Drosophila melanogaster: one gene and its partner. The protein of the gene in region 2 interacts with the protein of the main gene of each other region in a pairwise test. Each region holds a gene or a part of one and is shown on either strand. Other genes may lie near its edges.

What was found. Proteins that work in one complex are often made in the same cells at the same time.
Region 1: the proteins of CG2059 (region 2) and CG17739 interact in a two-hybrid assay, tested with the Drosophila melanogaster proteins (one large-scale study listed by BioGRID).

What each region holds. Positions count from the first base shown.
Region 1 is NT_033778.4:12,302,890-12,312,567, reverse strand, and holds CG17739 (uncharacterized protein), read right to left. Parts: upstream 6,041-9,678; 5' UTR 6,015-6,040; intron 5,290-6,014; 5' UTR 5,281-5,289; coding exon 5,103-5,280; intron 5,010-5,102; coding exon 4,621-5,009; intron 4,568-4,620; coding exon 4,106-4,567; intron 4,050-4,105; coding exon 3,878-4,049; intron 3,814-3,877; coding exon 3,692-3,813; intron 3,628-3,691; coding exon 2,329-3,627; 3' UTR 2,156-2,328; downstream 1-2,155. Other genes in the region: CG30203 (uncharacterized protein), read right to left, coding at 1-379, 435-600, 648-905, 960-1,172, 1,231-1,622, 1,678-1,843; salto, read left to right, coding at 6,470-6,506, 6,570-6,637, 6,697-7,039, 7,097-7,348, 7,443-7,603, 7,667-8,046, 8,111-8,440, 8,511-8,745 and 2 more.
Region 2 is NC_004354.4:7,282,694-7,289,962, reverse strand, and holds CG2059 (uncharacterized protein), read right to left. Parts: upstream 3,606-7,269; 5' UTR 3,547-3,605; intron 3,313-3,546; exon of another isoform or gene 3,198-3,312; 5' UTR 3,111-3,197; coding exon 2,865-3,110; intron 2,792-2,864; coding exon 2,618-2,791; intron 2,553-2,617; coding exon 2,323-2,552; intron 2,255-2,322; coding exon 2,117-2,254; intron 2,053-2,116; coding exon 1,914-2,052; 3' UTR 1,846-1,913; downstream 1-1,845. Other genes in the region: unc-119, read left to right, coding at 1-218, 285-457, 699-817; CG1677 (uncharacterized protein), read left to right, coding at 5,249-6,022, 6,095-7,269.

The DNA.
Region 1 (9,678 bases), on a different chromosome or scaffold from region 2:
ACGGACAAACAGCGCTGCCTGGCCTGCGGATTGTAATAGTCCCGGGTACGTGTGGAAGATCCTCTGCCGCATGTCTTCGTGCACGGTGACCACTCGCCCCAGTTGGTCAGCTGGCACTCGGCCATTGAGCCACTACTTGGGGGATTTTCCATGCCCAGGCCAGGCTCCTCGCCTTCCAGTTCCTCCTCCGCTGCCCCACATTGGGTTCCCTGGCATTGGCGGAACTCCTCCAAGCGCCTATCGCAGTTAAAGTTGGCAGCTAGATTGGGATTCTTGAAGCTACGCTGACGATGAGAGTAGCCCTGACCACATCGCGTGCTGCAGTTGGTCCACTCGTTCCAAGGGTGTACAGCGCACTCCAGCGGTCCTTCCTGGGGAACTAATACTAAAGATTATGAACAGCACGTGCAGGGATTACAATAACGATCACTTACCCTCTTCGCACTCCCTAATGTAGAGTTTCTTCCGGGTCAAGTAGAGTGTGGCCAAGGGTTTCATTGGGGCACCGGTGTCATCGTAAAATGGCGAACGATGGTCGCTGGGATACGAAGATGTTATACGGCGCACCACATCCGGTGGCACTTGTGGCTCATCTGAGGACTTTGAAGGAGATAAATATAATGCATAGTGGGCTATTTTTCGCCTACCATATACGATGGTCCCGAATCGGTGCCGATGTCCCAGGGATACAAATTCAAGACCTTTCGCTCCAGCCACGTACAATTGCTCAAGCAAAGCTCCAATCCAGCCACGCCCAGTATCCAATCGGGTGAAGGATCAATCTTGGCTGCTAGCGATATCTGATGGTGTACTGGATCCAGACGAGCATTGGCCAGGGTTGTGCCAAATGTTTTCGGACGATAGGGAATTCCAGGAGCCTTTATTATAGTTCTCACCTCGCCATTCTGTTAGAAACACCATGATGAAGTGGATTTAATGCGATAAAATTGATTACCTACCTGAGTATTCTCCCTGATCTCATTCTCAAGGGTACGTGTAGCTCCGTGCTCGGCCAACTCCTTCATGCCCTTGCTCGCTCTTCCTCCGTAGGCCCAGTAGCGATAGCTGTGGCTATGTGAAGCACCAATCACCTCGCCCAAGCGTGTGCGCCAGTCCTCAGAGGGAAAGTCCTTCCAATGGGTGTTCCTTGCCCACTTTCGCTCCAGAACAATCTATTAGATACGATTATTTTAAACACAATATTAGGAAGAGTTGAGAAGATATTCCAACCTCATATTTGGCTTCATCACAGGCACAGCAAGTTTCCAAGGGTGGTGTTAAGCTGTTCAGTTCGTCGATTTCCTCGGGACAAATCCGCTTGGTCAGGAAGCCATCGTCCAGAAACCACACATCACGATGTTGAACCACACCAGCCTTAATCAGTACACAACCGCTGTCCGGATTACGTGGTGCTATCCAGGATACCGCGATATAGATCTTGGCATTCGTATTTGTGTTCTCCACCATGTTCTCACAACTGGTACTGAATCGGGTGTCTCCGACTCCCAGCAGTTCAAAGTGACCGGTCATATCCTGACCACCGAAGGCAGCCGACGGATCCTCAGCCTCGACCACCAAGGTGAAGCTCACGAATTTCATGTTTATTGGACAGGATAACGAAACTTATGATGATAATAATGTTGAAGTAAAAGCTTCAGGACAACTCGAGACTCTCACCATTGTACTGATGTTCTGGCACATAGGTCTCTGGATTGCCATCGATAAGGATCTTAAAGTTATCATCCACAGGCGATCGAGGGCCACTGGCACCTTGGGGTATCCGATTGCAGACTCCTCTGACTTCGGAAGACAGCAGAATGAGGAGCACGATATGGCGAAGCATCTCTTCTCAATCTTAGCGATCCGTACTGGGTCGAGGCTCAACGGCGACTGACCAAAACTGATGGCTAGCCATCTCCATTAATTGATGAGCATTTCCAATTTATCAATTATCCCTTAAATGGCGCTCTCGGCGTTGACAGCTTATGGCATCTTGATTGAGTTGTCTTCAATTAGGAATGGTTTGTTTTTATGGCAAGCTTTTCAATTGATGAATTGTGCCCGGGTTCTTTGAACTTGCAACCCGGCGAAAAATCACTCGTAAACTGGCCACTGTTTGCTTAATGGAACTGGGTCAAGGTTAAACTCAATCGGAATTGGAATTACCACGCGAACACAATTCTGTTTTATTGTTTTTAATACATATTTAATCTGTTGCGAGAAGAGCTAGTGTAGGTAGTCTGGAATTTTTCATATATTTAACGATATCCATTGGTAATGATTACATAGTTGGATTAGAACTAATACTTGTAGCAGTTAATGGTATGTTCACCACCGCTCTGGATCATCGTTGCTGGTCAGCTGGCAAGGCATCATCACGCACTTTTCCATGCGGACGCGATCCTTGCACTTGTAGCTCAGATCGGTGTTCATTAGGGTTCGGGTTCGTTGGCGAACGGCATTATCGCCACACGTGGCGGTGCATGGTGTCCAGGCGGACCACTCCGAGTAGCGACACTCGTCCTGCGGTTCCGGTTGCGGAGCTCTTACCACATGCCTTCGCTCTCCAAATCCCCGTCCACTGATTGAGTACATGTCATCGCACCGCTGGTAGCAGCGATCCAAACGTACCAGGTGCTTGGGACATGGCTTGCCTCCATACTTCGGAGTACGGAGCACCCGACGCGTTCGCAATTGGAAGCCATCGCCGCAGGAGGCGTTGCAACTGTGGGAAACCCAGTCAGAGACGAGACAATCAATGGCTGGAATGCCATCGTGCTGCAGTTCCTGTTTGTGGCGCGGCAGGCGACATGTCTCCTCGCACTCCTCCTTCGACTTGAATTTGTTGCGATTTGTATCACAACGATCCGACCAATAGATGGCACACTGGTCACTCACATGGTCGTAGTACCAGAAGTTGGCCACATCGTTATCCCGACACGGACTGTCGGTCAGCTCGTCGTAGCAGAAGCCGGGAACAATGGTATCGCAGCTAGGATTGGTGCAGTTCACCTCCTCGTGCAGCTTGATGTGTCGACAGGGATCCTGGCCGTCATCATTGGGATCCGTTACTCCGTACACCTGGTTGTTATTCCACACCTTGCGAATACGTTGCCGCTTTCCATGTCCACCGCATGGCCCCATGCACGGCGAGAAATCCGACCATGGAGTGACCCCGCAAACCGGTGGTATGTAATCCTCCCGATGCTGACTGTAACTCTCGAAGTTGCGGAATATGGAGCGTTTCTCAGCGGATCCACCTCCGTCGCCACCGGCCTGTTCCTCCTCCGGTTCCCCAGCACCACCTTCGTTCTCGATGTCCCCACCGCATTCCATTGCCTCGCAAATCTTGGTCTCATGCAGACGCGCCCTGCTTGCCTTCTGGCACTTCTTCTTGGCCTTCTTGTTTAGATAGTGTCGGGATCGGGTCATTTCGCCGGTTCCACAAGTCACGGTGCACGAAGACCACTCCGACCAGTCAGACAGACCGCACTGGGGATCGTCGCTGCTACCTGGTGATGGCGCCACCTCCGGCTCGCCGCCTTCAGCTGTCTCCTCATTGAAGCCAGCGCACTTGTGTCCCACGCAGTTCTTCTCCTCACGCAGGGCATTGTTGCAACGATGACGCTAAGGTAGGTGTCAAAATGTATATATAGTATGGGATCCAAATTATATATGTCGTCTTAATTACCGAAGCCAATGCAGGGTTCTTGAACTCTCGGATTCTGTATTGCTTGCCGGGACCGCACTTTGTGGTGCATTCATCCCATCTGGACCACGAGTTTGTGGCGCACTCCGGCGGTACCTGTTCCGCTACAGGATTAAAGTATATAGTATGTATATTCACAACATCAATATATGGTTGCATTTAACTTACAATCGGAGGACTCGCAGTTCTTTTCGTAGAGTCGTCTTCGATTGATGTGCAGGGTGGCCAATGGCTTCATCTGGGCACCAGTGGGATCATAAAAGGGCGAACGGGGATCGTTGGGGAAATTTGATTTGATGCGGCGCACAACATCTGGAGGCACCTGTGGCTGGTCAGCGGACTGAAAAGTATTCGTGATTGACTCTACTGAAGACTAAATCATGGAAATCGTCTTACCATATATGATGGACCACTATCGGTGCCCGCATCCCAGGGATATAGGTTGTGCACCTTGTTCTCCACCCAGGAACAGTTGGGCAGACATAGCTCGAGGCCGGATACACCAACGATCCAGTCTGGAGAGGGATCCACCATTGATACGAGGGAGATCAAATGGTGGTTGGAGTCGACGCGAAAAACGGCAAATGTTTTGCCCGTAACATTCGGATAGGCAATGCCCCTTGCCTTGATGATCGTGCGAATGTGTTCGCTCTGATCCTTCAGCTCACTCTCCAAGGTCCTTGTGGAGCCATGCTCCGCCACCTCACGCAGCCCCTCGCTGGCCAGCTCTCCATACTGCCAGAATCTGTAGTCCAGTGTGTGCGAGGCACCAATGATATCGCTGAATCTGGTGCGCCAGCTATTCGCTGGAAAGTCCTTGGGATGTGTGTGACGCGACCACTTGCCTTCGAAGGTAAGCTGAAGTAAGGAGGTGTTAATACCATTTCAATAATGAGTTAAAAGAGTCCCACCTCATATTTGGCCTCGTCACAGGCACAGCACGGATCCACGATGCTGGGCTGGGTGTCAATGTCGTCCACCTCCTCCTCGCACATACGCTTGGTAAGGAAGCCATCATCCATGAACCACACATCTCGATGCTGCATCACCGTAGCCCTCAGCAGGATGCAGCCCTGTCCCGGACTCGATGGAGCCACCCAGAACACATCCACGCGTGTCTTCACGTTCGTGTTGGTATTCTCGACAAGATTTGGGCAGCGCGGACTGAAACGGGTCTCGGCGAGATCGGCGATCTCCCAGGTGCCCAGGGCATTGGCGTCACCATCGCCGTCACCACTCTCCAAATCCAGGGCCAGCATAAAGCTAATGAAGGACAAGCCAGAAAATGCACTGAGGCTAACTGAAAACGAGCAGCGAAAGATTAGAGAATTGAAAGAAAAATCTAGAAATTTGTAAATTTAATTTAATTTAATGCTTAATTTAATGCACTCACCATTATACCTTTGACCGGGCACATAACTCTGCGTATTTCCGTTTACGGACAGCACATAGTTATCATCCACCGGTGACTTGGCTGCTGTGACTCCCGGTGGGACCCTAATGCAGCCCTCGATCCGGGGAATAACACCCACTAATGCGAGAAGAATAGTGAAACCTTCCAGAGCTTTCATTTCAAAGAGCTGCAATGCAAAATTGAGTGGGAATACAAATTTACAATCATTTGATGCAGCCACGTGGTTGTGGGGGAAAAAACTATTTCTGGCCAGCACTTAATTGTCTTAATTATCCGCATTGGTATCGAATGTCAATGGCAACCAATGGAGCCTACTTCCAGTTTCAAACTGAACTTGAATTCGTAGAAATAGCCTTCAATTGAATGACTTTGCGTGATGTCACACATAGTGCATATTGCTATTTTCGCAGACACTTTCCATTTCCTTTGAGATCCAAATTATGCCAGCTCAATTGCCATGCGGAACTTGAACTAGGCGGGTTGTTGGTTGTTTACCCCTTGAAAATCGGATCGCATTGCGTATATACAATATATAGTCTGTACTATATAGACCGTCTACGTCACTGATTAAATTCAATTGAAAAACGCGCCGACTGTCTACAGCGAATTCGAATACAAGGGGGTGACAAACGTCCATTTCCCATGGATCTAAATCATTAAAGTCACTTTTAGGGCTTCTTCACCTCAGTACTGCACTTATATTGTAGCACCCACTTTCACTAGCACATCATGTATGTTAATCCAGTTGATTAAGTTATTTTGAGAAAATAAACTAATAGCAAGGTGGTACAGATTGTTTTTTCATACTCTTGTTACTCAGTATTGATGGATCGTAAATGAAACAATCTCGAAATATATGCTTTTAGAGGGAAATCCGAACTAAGAACTTACTCGGTGGACGCACGAACAGCAACTGAATGCAAATTTCGCCGAGTCGATTATTGGATGGACGATGTGCATCATTCGGGACCGACGAATGGATTACATGGAGAACCTCAGAGAGGGAAAAACTGCTCTCTACTTTTCCCTCCCATTTAGCTTAGTTTCCGCTTCTTTTGCAGATTCGCATTTGTTGATAGAAACCATTAGTTTTCATACGCTCATTCTAAACAAACAGACCCCAAAAACACCGGGTACATTGGAACTGAACAAGTGTGCTCTGAGTTTGAATTCATGTTACTTCCACGAACCACCTCGTTTGGATTGGTCAGAAAGCATTTTTGTACCATTTACACTAGACGTAGTTCAACTGGAAATATTTAGAAACAAATTTTCTATACTATTTTTTCCTCATTTTGAACACAAAAATCGTTTACAAAAAAGCGTTGATTTCCGAAACTTTAGATATGAATTCTTCCAGCGTGACGCCGCGTTCAGTTCGTAGTAAGTACATGTACCTTGAACGCTATACGAATGTGTGCTTCAAATGCTCGTTATCCTTGTTAGGTAACAAAGCATTCTTGCTGAGGACAGCTGGAAAGGCGGAAAAGCAAGCCTCAGACAAAGCTACATGGGTGAGTGAGATAGAAGAAAAGGGTTTAGTTTTTTCAAATGCTTTACATCCCCGTCCCAGTCTCGCACTTCTTCTTGTGGTGGCGTCTTCTCTACTCCTCCCACCCAGAATGGCGACGGAAGCCCAAACAAAGGTAGGCTCAGTCACATTCCAAATAGGCGTGGAGCGAGTCGGTCGTCTATCCATTCGCGAAAAACTTCTCTGGAACGGGTTACTTCTTCGACGAAAGCGCGCCCGTGTGTCAGTACGTATTCGTTGCCCAATCGACGGGTCGAGCCCGAGCATAAAGTAGTTGAGCCCGATCGGAAAACTGATATCGATGAGTTGAATCCCCCCAAGCGGAACGTGGTTCCCATAAAGACGCATGCCCAGTCAGCACAATTGGTTAAGTCAACGACATGCGGTGGGTATCGCGAATATTTGAAACGTGGTCCAATTCTCTGATTATTGCCGTCCACAGAACCTTATCAAAATGTAAAGAAGCCTGAAAAGATGTCGCATCGCCGTGTCCTGGAGATGAACCGGATGCGGGTCTTTGATACGCAGAAAAAAAAACTGGAGAACCTGCAGTCCGAGTTTATGCACAAGATCCGGTTAATGGGTTCGGAGCTCCGGAATCAAGGGGTCTTCAAGTTTGTGGGTCTGACTGTAAACGATGAATGCAAGCTTGTGGTCCACCATGATGATCTACTTCGATTGCCCAAGAGTATTCGTAAGTTCGTTTTGATTTTACGTCTTCGATTGAATGAATTGTTATCCTTGAATTATCCTTCTTTCGCTTACAATTGCATACTTTTATTTTCTAGCCGCCGAAAGTATGAATGACTTGAAAACCAGGTGTCGTGCGATTGTAGATCAGGGGGTTTTGTTAATCTACGACCATATACCAAGAATTCAGAGGGCTAAAAATGATCTCGAGGCTAGTGAAAAGCGTGAGGAAACTCAAAAAAAGTTGTCTAACCTAGTGGTATGTTTTTGTGCAACCGCTATGATGCACTAGCAATGTGAAACTATTTTATTGTGTCTCCAGGAAGAAAAAATGAATTTAATCGTCGAGGAGATCGAACAGTTGTGCGGTGCATGCTCCAAACAAGAGTCACCCAACAAAAGTCTCTATCGCGAGATGTCCGAGTTGCGTTCCCAGAAACAGGCCATGGAGGTTCGTTATTTTGACGCCCAGAAGGAGCACACTGAACAGATGAACCAGTTGCGGATCGAGCTCGATGCCAAGCTGAAACAGGAGCTGGCCAGTCGAGATCAGATCATTGTAGAGCTGAGAAAGAGCCTGCGGCGAAGCGAGGATATGCTCAGTGAGCAGTCCATTCGATTGGCCGAGAACAATTCCAAGCTATTGACCGAGGATTCCACCATCGAGGTACTGCGCTCCGAGGTAGCCAAGCTCAAGACTGTGTAAGTTAACTGGTCATCTCGGCAGATGATGGTTCTTACAGATCTTTCCTTATATCGTATCTAGAAAAGAGCAAATGGTTAAGCGTCTGGAAGAGGCGGACAAAGGTCTGGAGCGGGCTCGAAATTCCGTCGATAAGAACTTGAAACACATCGATTACCTGGAGGGCGAACTGAAGGAGGCCCGTGAGCTCATTGTCCATCTGGAACAGCGTCCAGATGCCATGGACGCGGGAGTTAAAGAAAAGGATTTGATCATTGCCGATTTGAAACTGCAGCTGCAAAGTCTCGAGCAGCATAAGAAGGTCATGAACAAACAGGTGGCCAATACAATAAAGCAGCATGCCGACTTTGAAGAGCTGGGTGGAAACTATAAGGAAGCTCTACAGCAGATAAGGTAAACTGCTTGGTTAACAGTATCATAGATTATGTATATTGATTAACATATCTCTTGCTTGGATAACCAGCGATCTAAGGGAGACCCTAAGTGTTACCAATGCCAAATTGGAGATGCAATCCAAGCTCGAAGTGCAGCTGCGCAAGGAAGTGTCCAAGATGCGCGAGCAAATGGTTATCGATCAGAAGTTGCTGAACGCTCGCAGCGAATTGATCGCAACACTGCAGAAGAATGAGGAGGATAGCCGCACCAAACTAGACCAAATGTACTATCAAGTTAGCGAGAAAGAAACGCTTATCAATCAGGTCCGCCGAAAAAGGATGTGGCTAGCCTCGCTTATGCTTATCCTTCTTCCTCCCGCAGGTAAACAACAAGCTGAGTTCGAAGGAGGAGGAGTTCTATAATCTCTACGGGACCCTCACGCACAAACAAAGGGAAGTGAGGAGGCAGGAGCATATCATCAAGTTGTTAAAGGAGCAGAATTCGCGGGTATCATTGTTGCGAGCCAATCAGGACGAGCGGAATGCCACGATGGAGGAGGAAATCAAACATCTCAAAAACGCCCTGTAAGTTCAATACGAGTTTGAGTAAAAGTTCGCCAGCTTGCTATAATTTACACAAATCCCGTGGTAGATATTCAATAACATTAGGGCCATGTACCGTTGAATGAGGTAAATGTCAATTGAAGTCCTAATATCAACTGGACCAGTTTCCAAAATATTTGAGTAAGTGATAGCAAAGCGGCGAGCTTTATGCTTGGAAAGACAAATAAAAGTATTAAATGGTTCTAGCCGTAATTATGCCAAACTAATAGTTGGCAATATGGGTGAACATTTTTTTGAAGTTCTGCCGGCTGGCGAAATGGAGAGCATTAGAAGCGGTGGCCACCCTGTGCGTGTGGACTCTTCCTGCAAGTTTCTGCAAGAGCCCAATCTGCAAGAGCCCAATCTGCAGGAACCCAATCTGCAGGAGCCCAATCTGCAAGACGACACTCTGCAGGAACCCAATCTGCAAGAACCCAATCTGCAAGAGCCCAATCTGCAGGAACCCAATCTGCAAGACGCCATTCTGCAGGAGCCCAATCTGCAGGAACCTAATCTGCAAGACGCCACTCTGCAGGAGCCCAATCTGCAAGACGCCACTCTGCAGGAGCTCAATCTGCAAGACGCCACTCTGCAGGAGCCCAATCTGCAAGAGCAGGAGATGTCCCAACCACGTGGTCGCATCTTTGAGCCACT
Region 2 (7,269 bases):
ACGCGGTTCAAGATTCGCGACCTGGAGAGCGGCGCTGTGCTCTTCGAGATCGCCAAACCGCCGAGTGAACAATATCCGGAAGGACTGTCCTCGGATGAAACCATGCTGGCGGCTGCCGAGAAATTGTCACTGGATGACACTGCCGATCCAAATGCCGGACGCTATGTGCGCTATCAGTTCACACCGGCATTTCTCAACCTCAAAACAGTGGGAGCCACGTAGGTTATACAGTATTTGCATTTGTTTTAAATGCCTCTCAATTTGTAAGTTTCCCTTATTTGCAGTGTGGAATTCACTGTGGGCAGCCAGCCGCTTAATAATTTTCGTATGATCGAACGCCACTTCTTCCGCGATCGCCTGCTAAAGACGTTTGACTTTGAGTTCGGCTTTTGCTTTCCATTTTCGAAGAATACGGTTGAGCACATCTACGAGTTTCCTAACCTTCCACCCGACCTAGGTGAGCAATTTTTACATAATCCCAGCCAGCATGACACGCAATTGAAAGTTGCTGCCAAAAGTTGAAGGGGTTTGTGGGTCAAGGTCGTTTACGATTTGCGCCTGTGAGATGAGGCTTCTATTGGTCAGATTGCGAGCAGCTATCATGGTTTTTATTTTTTGTTATCGGTTTGTAGGATGTGGACTTATTAATGAAATGCAATTCACATAAATATGTTCGTTCGTTTTCCATTTTTTTTTAGTTGCTGAGATGATATCGAGCCCCTTTGAGACGCGCTCGGACAGCTTTTACTTTGTGGGAAACCGACTCGTCATGCACAACAAAGCCGACTACGCCTACGATGGCGGCAATATAGTCTAGAAACTCAACTATAATGGAACTGCAACTAGAGCAAAACTAATAACTAAAGAACTAGAAACTACAGAAGCTGTGAGACAAAATCAATGACTTGTCACACACACACACACACGAAACACCCACTCAATGTCAACAATCACACTCACAAACACATCGAATCGAATCGAGGAATATTATCACAGCCATTTTAGCCTTAGCACACCAAAGTTTTACCCACCATTCCTGTTTGATGTATTTAGCATCAAGATATGATCTCCTGCAAACGGAAACTAACACACAAACACAACAACAACACACTGAAGCACGCGGATTGTGTTCATTTATCAATGATTTCCACTTTGACTATATAATTTTAAGTGCTATGTGATTTCCCTTGATTTATATATGTATTTGTACACACTTATTTAATCCTAATAAGTAAGGACACTCCACACACACACCCAACAAGAAACAACAAATACATATATATAAAATACGTACGTATACACACACGCACACACAGAACTTATGAGAAGCGAATTGGAAATTTTCAAAAAAAAAAAATTGAGGAAAATCCATTTGCCGTCAATTTTTGTATGCAGCATACGAAATCATACGAAATCTATCAGCTTCTTCATGGCATTTTTTTCGTGTCTGTGTATGTATATTTTTTAAACAAAAACCAAATGGAAAAAGACGAACGTAACTGGAAATCCAAAAAAAAAAAAACACTAACGATTACACGCCGAACAAGAATGATAAATTAAATTACATTTTAAATGTACATACACCACTATAAATTGAAACTTTTCTAAGGGGGTTAAATCGAGGGCATTTCGTGCACTAAAGGTGCTTAAGAAATTTATTATATTCTGAAAAATCATCAAGTTCAGAACGCTTATATCAAAAAAAAAAATATATATATTGCTATCCCGCTCTTTTCGGTGAAGATTCTTGAAGATCTGCGTAGATCGTTGAAGAATGTCTTCTCGAGTTCTGAAGTGAAATTAATTTGAATTCCCGTTCCCAAGAAAAACAAAGCGTTCACTTTCCAATTTAGCTAAAGTCGATCTACGCGATTGACTTCTTTGTACATTTGGTTAAAATATCAAAATTTGGTCTACTCAGTTCTATTCAGGAACTCGCTGACTATTGTTAGAAACTCCTGCGGCTTTTCAAAGTGCACTAAATGTCCGGCATCCAGCCAGTGGATCTCAGAATTGGGAAACATTTTCTGTATCTGTGGCCATTGCTCGCGTCTAATAAAGATGGCAAAAAGATTCAATTAGTTTAGTTTACTTAGCACCTCGGGATCCAAGTTACCTCATGTAAGGTGATCGCGTGCCGCAAATGAACGTAGTGGGTCCCGTGTACGGCGGCAGTTCCTCCAAATTACTCTGATATTTGTCGAAGCGGGTGAGGAATTCACGAAGAACATGGGCATTGCAGGCCCAAGAGAAACTATAGGAAGATTATCTCATTTTAAAGCGGTTCCCAAAAAAGGCCAAATACATATGTGGCAAACTTACGCGCCGGTGTCAGGATTTTTTCGGAGATTCAGCATGATAAAGTCAACGGTCTCGTCTTCGGTGGCTTTCAGTAGTTTTTCCCGTGCAATTTTCCTGCCCTCAGACATGGACATGCTTGGCGAAAGGTCCAGGGAGACCATCGCGTCGAAAATTTCCGTCATCTCGCCCGTGGAACGGGGCACGCTAATTGGCGATATGTCCACCACTATCAAACGTTCCACCAACTCGGGCTATGATAATGGAAAAATGATTGTTTAACATTTAACTCAGTTTGTGCATAAGGCGCAACACTTACATATTTTCGAGCGAAGTACATCATGGACCTGCCGCCCATGCTGTGACCCATGCAGGCGGCATTCGGATGACTGCGCTGCTCCATAAACAAACGCAAATCCTCGCTCATCGCTTTGGAATTGTGGACACTCGAATGTGGACTCTCGCCATGATTCCTCACATCGATGGCGTACACCTGTAGGTTAAAATAAATACACATTGGCTTGAGCATTGATACTTTGGCTAAACGCATAAATTGGTAAGCTCACCTTTCGGGAAACTTTTCGCACCAGAGCCTTGCTAATTCCTCGCCAATTTTGCTTGGAACCAAAGAGTCCATGATATGTGAGCAGTGGTGGACTCGTCTCTGGATTCTCGCCGGTGTACGAATCGAAGCTTAGTTCAACGGGATCCGGTATTTCCGAGGAGTACTCCCTTCTGACCACCAATTGGGTTCGCAGGATCTTTCCCGCGGGAAATGGAAGTGAACGTAACGATTTCGTCAGGCGCTGCATTTGGTGGCCCCAGTGTGTACACACGCCACCGGCGGGAAAACTAATTGGGCAGTGGTATGTTGCCGCCGAGGGGGGTTCGTTGCTTTGCTAAAGTTGCGTAATTATTGTTAATTTGCAGCAATTTCGATAAATTTCAACATTTTGCCAATTGTGTACGGAGTCCAGCTGACCGGTGTTTTATTTTTCGACAACATGTAGTTTGGCAATTGTCAAGGGCGTAGATGAAAAAACTAATTATACAAATTTTAAGTCATGAATATAAATATACAATATTTTTTGTAGTCGTTGAAAATGGTTTGGTTATAAATAGATTAGAAACACGTTTTTCTTATAAATTTATCTTTGACAATTAACCGTTATCATACTCTGTAATTTTTTGCATACACCTAAGCCATTTTATCATAAATAAGCACATAAAATATGTGCAAGTATTTACCAAATATTAATGGGGCTCTTAACCCCTTACGACCCCTTCCAAACGATGGCTCTGTTGACAAAGTGGCAACACTGGCGCGCAAATATCTCGATGCTAGCCATGGCATGAACCATTTTGGATATTTACTTAGTCATGTCTGTGCGTCAGCCACATAAGCTAAGATAACATCACCGACTAGGCACGCACGCTTTTCGCCGTATTTCCGGGCACGCCATGCACAGTCACACTGGCAGCTGCCATATTCTTTAGGCAAACGTTTTCTGTCGGAAACAGTTTTTTCATTAACACAAAAAAAGGCATCCAGAGCATTTGCTGTAGCACAAAAACATCGAATTTCCAACGCTACCAGGTAAACCAGTCGCCGCCGAGCCGCCGGAAAAACGGGCTTTCCAGTTCGTCTTTAGCGGTAAAAAGATTGAAGGAGGAAAGCGCGGCGCTGACGTCGGCAGCGGTAGAGGCAGCGCAGCGGCGCTCTTGCTCGCATTCACACTACTCAAACATAGGTAAGCAGCAACAAGAAATCAAGCATATTGTCAAAATCAGAGCAACAAATTGATATATTTTCAAGTATTCTATTTTTCCCCTCCAAAAAAAAAAAAAAAAAAAAAAAAATGAAATGAAAACTGAACTAGAGAATGTAAAAAAGTTAAGTTGCAAAAGTAACACAAAAAACCAGTTAAACGTTCAAGTAAAAGTCAGTAAGTGAATAAAAGTGGTTAAAGTTGTTAAGAAAATTCAATTTCGGTCGCGAAAAGTGCGAAAAAGTCCGCAAAAATGCAAATACTTAACTCTCCTCTGTGTGTGCGCCTGTGTGTGTGTGCGTGTCCTTAACTGTGTGTGTGAGAGGGAAAGAGAGCGCCAGAATAGAAAGAATTTTTCAAATTGCACTGCGCTTACAATCTCGCTCTCCCTCGCTCTTTGTTGTCCCTCGTTCGCGTCAAGAAAATTAATCAAAAATAAAGTATAAAGAGAAATAAAAAAAGAAAAAAAGATACTGGCACACACACAATATAATCAATTAATTAAAAAACATAAAAGCTTATAAAAGAAATGAAGGTAAGAACCCCACTAAAAGTTAAAAGCAAAAAAAAAAAAACTTATTCTGTCATTCCCACAAATATAAAAAAAATCCTATATCAAAATCGATTGTTATCGCGTTATCGGAGCTATCGGCATTTGTTTGGGGGCTTTTGACCTTGACTTTCGTTTCTATCCCCTTTCTATTAAGGCCATCCCCTATCTGCTCCTCCTCCTATTCACAATTATTAGTTATCGACCCAGTGCGATGCTCGCCTCGATTATTGCGATTACATAATATTAGTTCTATCGATTTTCTTATCGATTCTTTTGTAATTGACAATTAGAATACCCACGTGGTTACAATCAACATGAATCGAAACTGGACAGACAAATGTCTTTATTCCTTGCCGACTTAGTATACTTGCTGTTTCGATTCAAAACTTGTCCACTCAATTAACCGGTAATCGTCGCCAGAAGCCCCCAATAAAATATCGACTTGCTTCGCTAGTTTTGCCCCGGTGACATTCCCCTCCCACCAGGACGTGGTGGCTTTTAATCGTCTGAGCCTTGTCCAAAGCGTTGAGTATATTTAGCCATGCCAGAAAAACTAATTCTCGATCTGTTCGAATCTCCTGCAGAAACGCCAAGGAACTAGTTGGTCGCACCGGCGTAAGGCGAACCCATGGTCCTTGACATGGAATCGGACGATTCTCATGCCAGTTCGGCGTCCAATTCCTCGGAGTCACGGTCGAATTCGCCCACCAACGACAAGGATGAAGTTGTCGCGGATCATGGTGGCGAATCGCCTGGCGGAGGTGGCGACCCCATACTGGATCGGTCCGATCGAGCCCCCTCCACCAGTAGCTCATCGTCCAACTCCAGTTCCAGTTCGAATCGCAGTGACCTGTCCAAGAAGCAGAAGAAGAGCTCGAGCAGCAGCAGCGGAAGTGGCAGTGGCAGTGGCAGTAGCTCTTCCAGCGGCTCCTCTAGCGAGGATGAGGGCGATCAGGAACCGGAACAGGAGGTGCAGCGTCTTTCCGAGCAGCAACGGGAGCAGCAGCAGCATTCGCCGATAAATGAGCGAGAGTCCGAGTCTGCTGCTGGAACGCCTGTTAATGCGGATCAACCTGGTTCGCCAAACGCTAAGTCACAGCCTAGCTCGTTCCTCTCATCCGTTCGCAGTCGAAGCGTCAGTCCCCAGCTGTACAATCAGGCTGCCGTGGATCTGAATATCAGTCACGACGACCTTAGCGATGTCAGCGACATCGAGGGTGAGGAGAAGCGAACCTCATCCAAAAATTCAATGCGTCCGGCGGATGAGAACGAGGATGGCGCCATTTCCAATGATTCACTGCCCACTCTCGGCGAAGAGGATGAGGTTGAGCAAAAGCAGTCCACGCCTAACGGCAAAGCGTCAAGCGGGGATGAGAAGGAGCCTTTCGCAAAAGAAACCCATGTGAGCTCTAGTTTCGAATTGTAGTTTCTAATCTAAATAGCTTGAATCATTAATAACTCAAATGTATTTCAGACCGACGACGCGTCCAATGGACTTGCACCAGCGACCGCTTTGCAGGAGGACTTGGTCAAAACTCATGACGACGACGCCTTGGACTTCGAGGCGGAAGAGGGCGAGTGTCCGGAGCAGGCAAAGGAGCCTTCACCGATGGAGAGCACAGCCAACGAAACAAACCAGACCAAGAGTACGACCAAGGTGTCGCAAGACGAGGGCGATGACGACGGCGAGGTGGATAAAGACGGCGATGATAAAGACGGCGATGACAAAGACACACGCAAGGATGGCGCTGGCAATGGCTGCTTGGAGGATGGCGCAGGCAATGACAGCCGGAAGGACGACGCAGGCAATGGCTGCCTGGAGGAAGGCGAGGAGGAAAAAGATATAGTGTCGGTGTCGACTTCATCCAGCCAGGAAAAAGTGGAAGAGGGGGAGCTGGAGGAGGGCGAGGTGTCCGATGAGGATGAAAAGCGACCGGAGGAGACTGAACCGAAGCCGGTGTGTCGATTCTACACTCGGGGTCAGTGCACCTGGGGGATGAGCTGCCGCTTCCTGCATCCTGGCGTCACAGACAAGGGCAACTACACAATGTTCGACAACGTTATACGGCCGGTCCCGATGCAGGGAGGTTCAACTGGAGCCAGCGCCCCAGCAGCCCCATCATCGACCGCTGCCCCTCGTGCCGGAGGGAGTGCCTATAGTTCCCACGCCTCGGCGACTGCTGACTATCATGATTATCGAACTGAGCGGCCATTGCATCACCGACCGCCGCTCCTTCATGCGCCCAGTATTTATGGTGCACCCGTCCACGACGCCCGCACTCTTTTGCCTGACGGAGCTCCGGTGGTGGTGGAGAATGCCTGGGAGCGCGGCCTGCGCACCGCTAAGGAGATGATGCGAAAAGCCAACAAACGCAAGGAGCAGGACATGGACTTTGAGGACAAGAAGATGAACCTAACACTGTCGCCCGATGAAATGGAGAAGGATTCGTACTACCTCAAGGATCGGGGCGGTAGCAGCGCCCGATCACCGCCGCCTCCTTCGGCCAATGTGCGCGAACAGCCACTCAATCCACTCAGTATGCCTCTGTCCATGCATCCGCATGCCGTTGCCCATGCAAATCCTCGTGCTCTTCTGCCCTTGCAGTACTCCGTTTACGGACCGCCACCCGATCGCTACGGCCGACCTCA